3 linked regions of the Callithrix jacchus genome follow. The protein of the gene in region 2 purifies or fractionates together with the protein of the main gene of each other region. This does not show direct contact. Links are inferred from orthologs where the notes say so. Each region holds a gene or a part of one and is shown on either strand. Other genes may lie near its edges.

What was found. Proteins that work in one complex are often made in the same cells at the same time.
Region 1: the proteins of ATP1A1 (region 2) and HADHB fractionate together in Homo sapiens (co-fractionation; 3 studies listed by BioGRID, with this or other methods). This does not show direct contact. The link is inferred for Callithrix jacchus from reciprocal best matches to the Homo sapiens genes ATP1A1 and HADHB.
Region 3: the proteins of ATP1A1 (region 2) and VDAC1 fractionate together in Homo sapiens (co-fractionation; 3 studies listed by BioGRID, with this or other methods). This does not show direct contact. The link is inferred for Callithrix jacchus from reciprocal best matches to the Homo sapiens genes ATP1A1 and VDAC1.

The regions. Positions count from the first base shown.
Region 1 is NC_133515.1:89,122,605-89,126,580, reverse strand, and holds the start of HADHB (trifunctional enzyme subunit beta, mitochondrial), read right to left. Parts: upstream 2,801-3,976; 5' UTR 2,399-2,800; coding exon of another isoform or gene 2,332-2,398; 5' UTR 2,154-2,331; intron 2,032-2,153; exon of another isoform or gene 1,665-2,031; intron 1-1,664. Other genes in the region: HADHA (trifunctional enzyme subunit alpha, mitochondrial), read left to right, coding at 2,332-2,398. UniProt on the Homo sapiens protein: Mitochondrial trifunctional enzyme catalyzes the last three of the four reactions of the mitochondrial beta-oxidation pathway.
Region 2 is NC_133508.1:154,398,555-154,402,054, reverse strand, and holds part of ATP1A1 (sodium/potassium-transporting ATPase subunit alpha-1), read right to left. Parts: intron 3,172-3,500; coding exon 2,979-3,171; intron 1,616-2,978; coding exon 1,440-1,615; exon of another isoform or gene 892-1,439; intron 756-891; exon of another isoform or gene 248-755; coding exon 111-247; intron 1-110. UniProt on the Homo sapiens protein: This is the catalytic component of the active enzyme, which catalyzes the hydrolysis of ATP coupled with the exchange of sodium and potassium ions across the plasma membrane.
Region 3 is NC_133503.1:74,318,809-74,322,923, reverse strand, and holds the start of VDAC1 (non-selective voltage-gated ion channel VDAC1), read right to left. Parts: upstream 2,801-4,115; 5' UTR 2,706-2,800; coding exon 2,490-2,705; intron 1-2,489. UniProt on the Homo sapiens protein: Non-selective voltage-gated ion channel that mediates the transport of anions and cations through the mitochondrion outer membrane and plasma membrane.

The sequences.
Region 1 (3,976 bases), on a different chromosome or scaffold from region 2:
ACATAGGACAGAAACACACACACACACACACACACACACACACACACCACTTAAATCAGTGCCTGATACAGTCAGGAGTATACCTGTGTTTGCTATTACAAATGGGGTGGTGATACCAACATACTGTTTCCCTCTAGATAAGCCATTGGACTAAAGAGCTTGGGGACCAAAGCAACATCATAATATTTTTGGCCTGATGGAATTTAGTTTTGTGGAGAGAGAACAGGGAGGAAAAAAAAAAACTGGAGCCAAATGAGTGATCTAAATCAGAGATAGGCAAGCTATAACATATGGCACTCTAGCTAAAAATATTTTCACTTTCTTTTTTTTTTTTTTTAGTTTTTCACATTTTTAGAGTTGTAAGGCCAGGTATGGTGTGGCTTACGTGTGTAATCCCAGCACTTTGGGAGGCAGAAGTGGCTGGATCACCTGAGGTCAGGAGTTTGAGACCAGTCTGACCAACATGGTGAAACCCATCTCTACTAAAAACACAAAAAATTAGCTCAGTGTGGTGGCATGCGCTTGTAATCCCAGCTACTTGGGAGGCTGAGGCAGGAGATTCGCTTGAACCCAGGAGGCAGAGGTTGCAGTGGGCCAAGATGGCGCCATTGCACTCCCAGCCTGGGCAACAAGAGTGAAACTCCGTCTCAAAAAAAAAAAGTTGTAAAGAAAGCAAAAGAAACAATACATAACAGAACTATTTACTGTCTAGACCTTTAACAACAAAAAAATGACCACTTCCGACCTAAATAGTAAGTGTTTACAAGCAGTTAGGTGTTAAAGAAGAAAGCATTAGATGGGCAGGAGGCAGGGTTTGAACTATAAAAACCTTGTAAGATTATCAAGAATTCGTTTTGCAATTTATTCAGAAGTGGTCAGATCATCCAGTTTCTGCTTAAAGTGCTCACAATGATTAACACTCACTATGTAACTTGAGCTTTAAACAGAAACCTCTCTACTTGTTTCTATACTCCTCATTTCAGTCTTAACTTCCCTGCCCCTTGTTTCCTGTCTTGCAGAGTAGTAGTGAGACTCAGACTTATGCCTGAATTCTAGCTCTGTGACAGACCCGAAAATGTATATAATCGGAGCTCCCCAAACTTCATCTAGAAAATGCAAACGATAATAATGTGGGGAAAGTGAAGATTAAACAAAAAGGTACGAAGGTGCCCAGAGCGCTCCATGTGACTTCCTTTTGAAACGAATCACTCTATTCAGGACTCCAGCCCATCTTTCCAGCACAAAAACAGCTATCATGCAACGAAGAGCTCTTCACTAGGAGTTAGTAGACTTAGGCTCCAGTCTTATTTCTACCACTGGTAAAATCACTCCCTCTGATTTTTAGGCTTCGTACAGTGGCCATGCTTCGTACAGTTTCTTCACAGCTAAAGTGAGTGGTGGTGTGAACGACCAGATAATCATCCAGACCGGAAACTCCCCCAGAGCAGTGCATTACCAGGATTACCGAGGGAGAGAGGATTGTCTCCGCTCCTCCCACACTCAAGCTCCAAAAGGTCACCTAACCTTGTCTCATTCTTTATAGCAGAAATAGTGCAAACCCGCGGCGCCGTCCACATCTCTAGAGCAGCCAACTTGGCTACAGGCGAAGCAGGTGAAACACACACTCTAACAAAGACCAGGGTTAAATTAAGGCCGACACACACCCAAACACACGCAGACTTCGTTAACTCGCGATGATAAATTAGGACGCAGGTGACACCACTCTCCCGAGCTTCAGCTGCAACGCTAGTCCCAGTCACTGTCCTAACTGCAGCTGGCACTGCCGACCTTGTCGAGGAGCTTCCTTCCGCTCCCTCAAGTCCGACTCTCCCAGGGAGGAGAGGCGGCCCGGGGCACCCGCGACACTTGCGGGGAAGGAAGTGGGCTCTCGCCTGTGGGAAAGCCGTGGCGGAGGGCTGAGCCCTCGCCATCTCACCTTACCTGACGTCCGCGCGACCTCCTACCCTGAGCAAGGTTCAGATCCAAGTGCCTAGGCTCTGCGGGACCAAAGGGCGGGTACTGCCCGGAAAGGACCCCTCACCCCGCCGGCGGGCACGGCTGGCCCCGCGGGCTGCCCTCCGGCCGCCTGAATGGAAAACCTGGCACTCCGCCCCCTCCTCTCCAGGGCCCCGTCCTCCCCTGGAGAAAGCGACCTTTCCGCCCCGTTGGCCAGAAGCGAGGGCAGGGCGAAGGGGCCAGCGATCACTCGGCATCTGGGTTTTAGTCAGGCAGCACGGTGGACGCCTGGACGCCCCGGCTACCCGAGGAAAAGTCCCCCGCTCTTCCGAACCCGCTGGAAGCGCTCTCCACAGCTGTCCTCTTCAGCTCAACATGGTGGCCTGCCGGGCGATTGGCATCCTCGGCCGTTTCTCTGCCTTCAGGATCCTCCGCTCCCGAGGTAAGGCCTGGTCTAGGGCATCCCAGACCTCCGAGCAGAACTCCTGAGGGGACTGGGGTGGTCCCGGAGCCGCGTCTCCCTTTCGCTGCCGCCGGCCCCCGCCCGGGGACCCAGCCCTCAGTGGGGAATACTGCCCTGGATCCCCGTTTCCTGTGTCCTTGTGGAGGGACTGTCACTTCCCCTCTCACTACTCCTGCGGCGATTTCAGGCTCCCTAACTCCCAAACTTTCTGAGTCTGGTGCCACTCGGTCTGTCACCTTTCCGCGGATCTCCTGCGTCGCACTTCTGGGCTCACGCCCCTCTTATTTTCTTGATCCGAAGTTCCAGGAGAATCGGGATCCATTCTGTCGCATCTTTGTGGCTTCACAGCACCTTACCCTCAACAAGAGCGATCGTAAAATCTTCTTGGGTGGAATTAGCCTTGCAGATCACTGCCCCTCCCTGGCTCGGGTCCCTCAAAACCATATTTGTGCTTACTACCACATTCAAGTCGGGAGCTCAGCTCTTGCAGTTCCAGTAATCCCAGTGTGAACGTATAGTATTTTTGAATTACAACGGGAGATTCTGCAGCTTACTGGAAGACACACTTTAAAAATACGCTGATACCTCTATCTTAAGGAATAAAATGTTAGATCGTTTTGAGAGCGATTTATCATCTTGTTTCTGATGATTCCCAGACAGCTTGTATTAGCTAGTGTTTTTCCTTTTCAAACTGGCAGTGAAAGGATTAAAGTGGGTGGTTGCAGGAAACCTGGCATTTTCCTTCCATCCCAAATCTATAAAGTCAAATGTGAACAACGTTTTTGTGCTTATTAGGTTACTTAATTATAAATTTTAACTTTTAATTTGTAATATGAATTACCTCTCTCTCCTCCTCCAGAACCGCTGGAGTAGTATGCTTTTTATAGACACGTAGTTGAAATCCCTTTACTGCAAGGGCATTAGTTGAATGATTGAATATTCTTCTGCTGTCTTTTTTCAACCGCTGTTTTTAGTCTCCACAAAACTGTCGCATGTATTTGCCAGTTATAACGTAAGCACGTTTTAGAACATTGAAATGCTGTCAGGATTGACGAAAGGGATTTTTAAAAAAAAACGAATCACCCGTTGTCTTACCTACTGTTGAGTTATGTTCCCTTACAGGTTTGGTGTTTTTTCCCCCCTATTTTCACAACACTTTTGAAAAGTCACATGTATAATTTTTATGTTACCCCAGCATTGGTTTGAAAGTATTTCTTATGGCTTGGCAGTGGTAGCCAGGGCATGTGGTTTCTAGTCACTAACTAGCTGTGTGACTTTGGACAAATGCCTTAAACTAAATGGGCTTTATTTTCCTCATCTGCAAAATGAATGATTGAGACGATCTTTTGCATGAGAAGTAGCATGACAGAACCATTAAAAACGTTGTTTGGAGTCTGACTTCTGGGTTTGGACCTGGCTCTGTCTTTTACCCTCTGGTGACCTTGGGCAATTAATTTCTGTGTTTGTTTTCTCTTTGTAAAATGGGGAATAATACCACCACCTTGTGAGATGGAAGGAGTTATTTTACATATAAAGCAGTTTTTCATGGAGTAAGCA
Region 2 (3,500 bases):
CCTACTCAGAGCAAGCCTAGACGCAAACCACTATAGAACCATGCCGAAGATTTTAAATGATCACTATTTGCTCGTTCACAGCAGACTGTGATTTGAGCTTCCTGCCTTACCTGGGGTTCACCTGGTTGACTGGGATGTTGAGGCGGGCAGCAATGTCTTCTACAGTCTCATTGCCTTCTGAGATGATGCCCACACCTTTGGCAATAGCTTTAGCTGTGATGGGATGGTCTCCTGTGACCATGATGACCTATAATAAACAAGACAATGTGTCAAATGCAACTGTCAAGTAAATTACCTTAAAAAAAGTCTTCCACGTCAGTAGGCAAGAGTAAATACTAAGGATGATTCAGCTTAGACCATCAAAAGGAAAGGAATGCAAACATAAAACTAATGAACATCGATTAGCCAAAAATATAAACATATGTATGCACAGAAAGGAAACACAAAGCCTCAGGTTTTATCTTGGTACACAATCACTGGCATACATAGTATCTATTCTTCCTTCTACAGTCACGTAAAAATACTCAAAAATTACTTAAACCAGCAAAGAATGCTGCTGGCTAGCGTTCCCAATTGGCCCAATTTGGGGAAAAGCAACATGTGGCAAGAACTCGAAACTGTTATTTTTTTGATGCCGTGATTATACTTAGAATATACTTTAAAAAGCAGCAGTCGGAGTGGTGAGGGAGTAACTTCTACAAAGCTTTTCAGGGCAGTATTAATCCTGAGAGGAGGCCGGGCATGGTGGCTCATGCCTGTAATCCCAGCACTTTGGGAGGCTGAGGCGGGTAGATCGCTTGAGTCCAGGAGTTTGAGACCCGCCTAGCCATCATGGTGAAACCCCATCTCTACTAAAAAATACAAAAATTCGCTGGGCCTGGTGGCTCATGCCTGTAATCCCAGCTACTCAGGAGGCTGGAGCAGGAGAAGTGCTTGAACCCAGGAGGTGGAGGTTGCGGTGAGCTGAGATCGCGCTACTACACTCCAGCCTGGGCAACAAAGCGAGACTCTGTCTCAAAAAGAAAAAAAAAAAAATCCTGAGAGTAAAAAACAGAAACATCAAATACCCAGAACAGGATACTAGTACACTTGAGTAACATTGAGCTACTTAAACACAGAAAACATGCCGTTCACTGCATAAGATACGTTAATTTAGAATAATGCAAGTATTTTAAAACTTGAGTCTTTTGCTCTTTTTACTTTGCTTACATTTCTTTTCTAAACAAGGGATTTCTGAACATGTTAAATTCCTAGTGCGTTTACACCACCATATTTTAATACTGTTCGGTCTTTTCTGACTGCAAGTAAAGCTTTGGAGACGAGACATTACTGCCCCAGGTGAGATAAACAGCCGGCCACCGGGACCTCGAAGGGCAACCCTGACTGAGGAGGGTGTCCCAAGGCACTGAGAGATGAGGCCACGGAGGCGCCGGCACCACCTTGATCCCAGCGCTCCGACATTTGCCCACGGCATCGGGAACGGCCGCCCGCGGAGGGTCGATCATGGAGATGAGCCCCACAAAGCACAGATTGTCGACAGGGAAATTCACATCGTCGGTGTCAAACTGGAACCCTTCAGGAAACTGCTCATCTGGCAGGAAGAGGTGGCAGAAACCTGCGAAGAGGACAGGAGCCTTTGAAAATTTTAATACTACAGGCAGTGATGGCAGGCAGCCTATTCAGCCCATCTACCTTTCACTGGAATGTTTAGTTTGGAAGATTTTTCAAGTCTATTTTTGTAACAAGAGTGAGGGCTTTAACATTTATGAATGATACAGAGTCACTGAAAGAAAAAAGAAATTCGGAAGACAGAATCCATCACACCAAGCCTCAAAGGAACTGTAAATTGTTTCACGTGGAGAAGACTAAATTGATGATACTAATTTAGAGCACCGGGATGTTAAGGGTTCTAGACTTGCCCACTGGTAACAACAGTAAATTATCTGGATTTGGCAAATCATGGGATTAACTGTCTCAGCTACCTTCTCTGGAAAAATCAAGGCCATACCTCTGCTCTCTTGGTCATGTAACTGAAGTATATTACCGAGCACCGATATGGGACATCATTCTAGCTACTTCTGAGGATAAGTACAGGTCAGAGGCATTCTGCCCAAGGGCTTTATCATCTAGTATAGTCAATGCCAGAATCAAGATAATATAAGGCATTCCTTTCAGTGTTGTATGAAGGTTACAATGATCTTTAAAATAGAATGATATGCCACGTGGACTCGAGAGAGACTGCTTCCACTGTGGGGTGGTGGAGGCAGGGCAGTGCAAAGTACTTCAGAGAAGACAGAGAGAAGACAGCAGTCCTCCGGTTGCATAGACACATACTAAAGATACCATGAGTTAGGTTTACCCAAGTCAAGAACAATAGGAAGAATCACGATACAAAATATTATAAATGCCAGTTCCCCAAATACATTAGACAACGTAAAGTGAACTTCTTCGCCTCAGTAGCCATCAGGGTAGAAAAAATAGGCAGCCATTCAGACTAAACGTTTACCGTCAGTCTGGTTTCTGAGCCGCGTGCTTAGGTGCTGAAGTGAATTCAGCACTTTCCAAGGCAGCCAGGAACTAATTATGTCTAACTTAGACACACTAATTAACTTTAATTTACTTAAGCTTATTGTTCATGTTCATAGCAACAAAGGTTAGATAAGATCTTCCACCATTTTTTTTGTTTTTAAAAAACAAACAAACAGAAGTGACTAGCGTGAGACCAAACGTCTAGGTACAAGTCAGAAGTGAACCGTCAGGACAATTCCCACAGCCCAACACACTGAACATTTCTCCAGCACTTACTGTTTTCAAAATAATAGGGGGCAAATAAACAAGTAGGAGGATTGCCCCAGAAAGATGTACAGGAAGGTCGACAAGTCATAGAGGTTACATGGGATCACTCGTTAACTGTCTACCAAACTAGGTTACTTGACAGAAACATGCCCAGGTGCTTTGTTACCAGGTTATCTGCGTACCTAAGACTCGTTCTCCGAGGCCCCCCAGCTCCAAGTAGGCATTCTGAAAGGCATCTTTCAGCTCCTCATCAAGGGGCTGCTCCTTGCCATGGAGGAGGATAGAGCTGCAACGGTCTAGGATCCTTTCTGGGGCACCCTTCATCACCAACAGGTGTCGGGGCTCCGAGGTGTTGGGGTTCTTATGAATGGACAACTGTGAAGGATTGTTGAGATGTAAACATTGGATGGTTGGATGTGTGGCAATCCACAGTGGAAAACGAAGCTTCACTTACTATTTAATAATTGCTCTAAAAGACCCAAGATCCCTTATTTCTGAACTCTGAAGTATCTTATACTCGTAACATACTTTGAATGCTACAGAAAAAATAAAGAGCACTATGATGTATTCATAAATTCCTGACACTTGTTCACATTAAAAAAAAAACACACACACACAAAATTTCAGGACACAGGGATTGGGGCACACTCTCGCACACATACCTCCAGGCCTCTCTCCACAGGCCCCAAACCACAAGTATTCCA
Region 3 (4,115 bases), on a different chromosome or scaffold from region 2:
TCCCAGTCACTACCACCGAAGACACTGCACCAGGAGAAATTCCAGCAAGGGCAAAGTGGACTTCGGTGCTTCCGGAGCATCTTCCTGGTAAAGGTGGAGAGTGGATGCCCTTCACTACCCCAGCATGGAGTTCACTGTCCACATCCACCTAGTGTTCAGCAGGGGCAGGGGTCTATAGGCACCTCATCCCTGTATGGTCCCGCTTTCTGTGCTACAAATAACCCCTGCCTACAGCCTGACTCTAGAATAGCAGAAATAAAACTAATCAACAGTGAGCAGTCCCCACTAGCCTGAGGCAGGCACCATACTCAGGACAACTCCAGCACAAGCCATGATGGATCCACCCACCATGAGGGAAGGAGTAACAGCCCCAACACCTTCTGCAGAACCCCATTCACCCTCCCTGCAAGCCCAGAAACACCAGTTCAACAACTTTCCCTCAAAGGAAGACGATGTATTTAAATCACTTATTTCAAGATTGTTACAATTCTTTAAATATTTGTGACTCTCTGCTAGGTGAGGTTGTTTTCTGCAAGTGAGATGTCTGTGTCCCTCAAAAGGATGTCCAGGGCTGGTCATGGTGGCTCACACCTGTAGTGCCAGCACTTTGGGAGGCTGAGGCAGGTGGATTGCTTGAGGCCAGGAGTTTGTGATCAGCCTGGCCAACATGACAGAACCCCATCTCTACTAAAAATACAAAAATTAACCAGGCCTAGTGGTATGTGCCTGGGATCCCAGATACTCTGGGAGGCTGAGGTGGGAGGATTGCTTGAGCCCAGGAGGCAGAAGCTGCCATGAGCTGATATGGTGCCACTGTACTCCAGCAACAGAGCAAGACCCTGTCTCCAAAAATAAAAAATAAAAAAATAAAAGCCAGGATCAAAGGACTATGGTCTGGGCCTGCAGCCCTTTATATGCCCCTTCAATAATTCCACATATACCTAATGAGCACCTACGATGTTCCTGCTACTGGAATAGTAAAACTCTGTCAATAAGGGTGGGTAGATTCTGACACACGAGTGCATTTATCCCCGCCCCAGACCCTTCTCAAGCACCTACTCTGTGCCAGGTAGCACCAGCCCAGTCACTGAAGACAAAGTAGCACAGGGTCTCAGTCTGACCCTTAGGAGCTCAGTTGGTCCAGAGCTGGCGTGGGCAGAATGAAGGCAGGCCCTCGGCAGTCTGCCCTGGCCTTGTCAACAGAAGAGGAATTTAGGAAATGGAGGCGCCCTTTAACCTACCTCCCCAGGAGAGGGGGAAGGCTAGTCAAGGGGACAGGGGCCACAGGCGGAACGAACCTTCAAACCAGGGTCTGCTCCTACATTCAAGGTCTGCACATGCAAACTTACTGCTCGAGCTTGAAAATGTCCGTTTGTAGACTTACAACGTTTTTCATAAATTATCCTAAAGTTACTCAATACCTGGTATACAAATGCCTGTTAATAATAGTGTAAGAATGCTTAAAAACAGGAGCTACATTTATTGAACCCTTTCCACAATGCATGTGTAGCAAAATGATCTGTGGGAGATGGGCTAGATTCATCCAAAAAGCCCCAAAGGTGTCAGCGTTTGTACTTAGCCCTTCTCCATACCAGCACTGCTCGAAAGGTTTCATGTTAATTCATTTTATTCTTCCCCAAAACTCAACGAAGGAGAGATACAACTGCTCCCATTCTAAAGACGAGAAAACTTGGGTTTGGGGTCCTCCCAGTTGTGTGACCTTGGACAAATCATCAGGACTGCGGGCCTCTATTCCAACGTCAGGCTCCGAATCAGTTTCCCGAATGCCCCGCCGCATTTGGCGAATGAATGAACGACTGAACCAGAACTCACTCCTAAGGCCAAGAAGGCCACATCCTTCCCCGTGAGGCCTCCTTTTTTGAGGCCAAACCTCCAGCCCAGGCCTGAGCTCCGGCCTCTACGGCCTAAGTCGACTCTCGGCCAGCGCGTTCCGTCCCAGAAGGCTCTGGCACAGGCGGGCGGTCCCGGGCGCCAGCTGCTGCGGGCGTGGGCCAGCTAAGGCGTGTGGGCCTGGGGGCGCGGGGCCACGGTTGTCACGTGAGCTCACTACCACGGCGGCAGCGTGGCCCGCACCGGCCCCGGGGCCTGGCCTAGCCTGGCGAGCGTGGGCGCTGGTGGGGAAGGTCACCTAGACGCGCAGCCCGCCGTGCCTCCACGCGGCCGCCCCTGCCCTTCCGCCTGCAAGCCCGGGCCGCCTCTCGCAGCCAGCTGCAGGCGTCTCCGGACCCTCGGCCGCGCGCTCCCCAGCCCGGGCCCGCTCGGCGCCCCCCTGCGCGTCCTTCTCAGCCCTCCGCTGTCCAGCTAGGCCCGCGCCGACCGCTCCCGCTCCCTCTCTTGGGCCGGGCTCCCGGGGCCCCTCGCCCTGGCCCTCGCCCGCCCCTCCCTCAGCGCCTCCCTCTCAGCTCCCCAGGCGCCCGGCCCGCCATCCGAGGTGCTAGGGAGCCGGGGCCCTTTTCCGCTGCGCCTACCTCAGAGGCGGTGGCGGCGGGCTCGGCGGCGGCTACGGCGGGGGCTGCGGCGCGGAGGCAGGGAGCGGAGCCGAGCGGAGCGAGCAGCGGGGCCAAGGGCGGGGCGGTGCGGACGGCGGCGGCGCGGACCCGCCTTCCCTCTCGCGCGCCCTGTCCGGCGCGCTCCGCCCCCAAGCCCCTCCCGGGAAAGCTACCAGGCCGGGCCCAGGTCCCCATCCCGCTCCCGAGCCGCACTCTTACCCTTCCCGGCCCCGCGGCCCCCGCAGCGGACACGGGAGCCTGCAGGAGTGTGCGGGCGCGCGGGAGGATCTGCGTGCGCTTGGACACGGGGAGGCGCAGGCCTGACGTGTGCACCGTGTGTGCGTGCGCGGGGGCACGCGGGTCCTTGCTGGAAAGCTCGGCCCAAGTGGCAGCGCTCTGGAAGGAGAAGGAGGCCTTCCGATTCGCTGAGCGTTGACCCTGAGGTCCCTGCGCTAATGGAAGACGCACCCGGCTCCTGGGTCTCCTGCTCGGCCTTGGTGCTGCTAGATCCCACGAGAGTTGATGTACTGGCCCGCGCTGGACCCTAGCCTCGCCTTGGTGAACGAAGTGGCCCCCGGCCCCCCATCAAAGCCTGCGTGGGCCCTATCCCCCGAGAGCAGTCCCAGGCCCCGCGCGGACTCTGGGCGCCCGGGGTGGCGCAGATACAGAGTAGCGGCGGCGACTGTGGTTCCCGGGCTGCGGATACATTGTGTCTGGCGCTTCAGACCCGCCTGCTCAGCACTAGACAATTGCGGAGAAAACCCCTGTGCGCAGAGTTTGCACTGCAGATTAGCGACTTCTCCTGTAGTAAAGCTACTAGCAGCCAATTTCCGTGCATTTGAAAGGTAAAAAAGCAAAACAATAAAACATGAATTGGGTTTTGCGAAGAGATCAGGCCGGCCGAGGGCGCCCGGGTGAACTGGCGACCAGCCGGGGCCTGGCCTCCTGCGGGACCCAGTTAGTGTGTGTTGAGTGAACCGTCACCTTCTCCCTGCTAGGGCCTAAGCGAGCGGTCTCGTTTAACACTGAGTGTCTCCTGTGTTCCGCGCGAGGCCCATTCGAAGCAGGTTTCAAGAATTAATTTGTTAGATGGATGAAGATTCTGCACGCCCTTCGCCTTTGATCTACAAAAGTCCTCGAGGGCTTGAGGTGTCTAGGGCCCTGTGGAGGAGGTGCCGGGTTACAGAATCAGGACACTCCTCACAGCCCGCTGCCACACCAGCTAAAGCAGTAGGCAACTGGGGCTGCGGAGGAGGCAATCAGGACTGGCTGCGGGAAACAGGCGGCAGATTACATGTGAAAGTGGCTATGATGGGTTGCTGAGGAAGAAGGCAGCTGATACAGAGTGGGAATGGGATGCGGACAGGGTGCCGAGGCCGTATGTAGGGGCTGGGGGAGGAGTGACTGGGAATGTGAGGAAGAGCCCTCTTCAAGATCATGGTTAGTATAGGATGAATTCTATGACCTTCCCAGGCCCAGGAGTTGCCTGGGGACTCCGGGCTTCCCAGCCTGGTGGTCCCTATCCTCCATATAGAGACTGGTGGGCAGAAGGAGGACAGGACCTCAGGGAGGCCGGCGGACAAGGCGGGGCTCCAGGAACCTCAA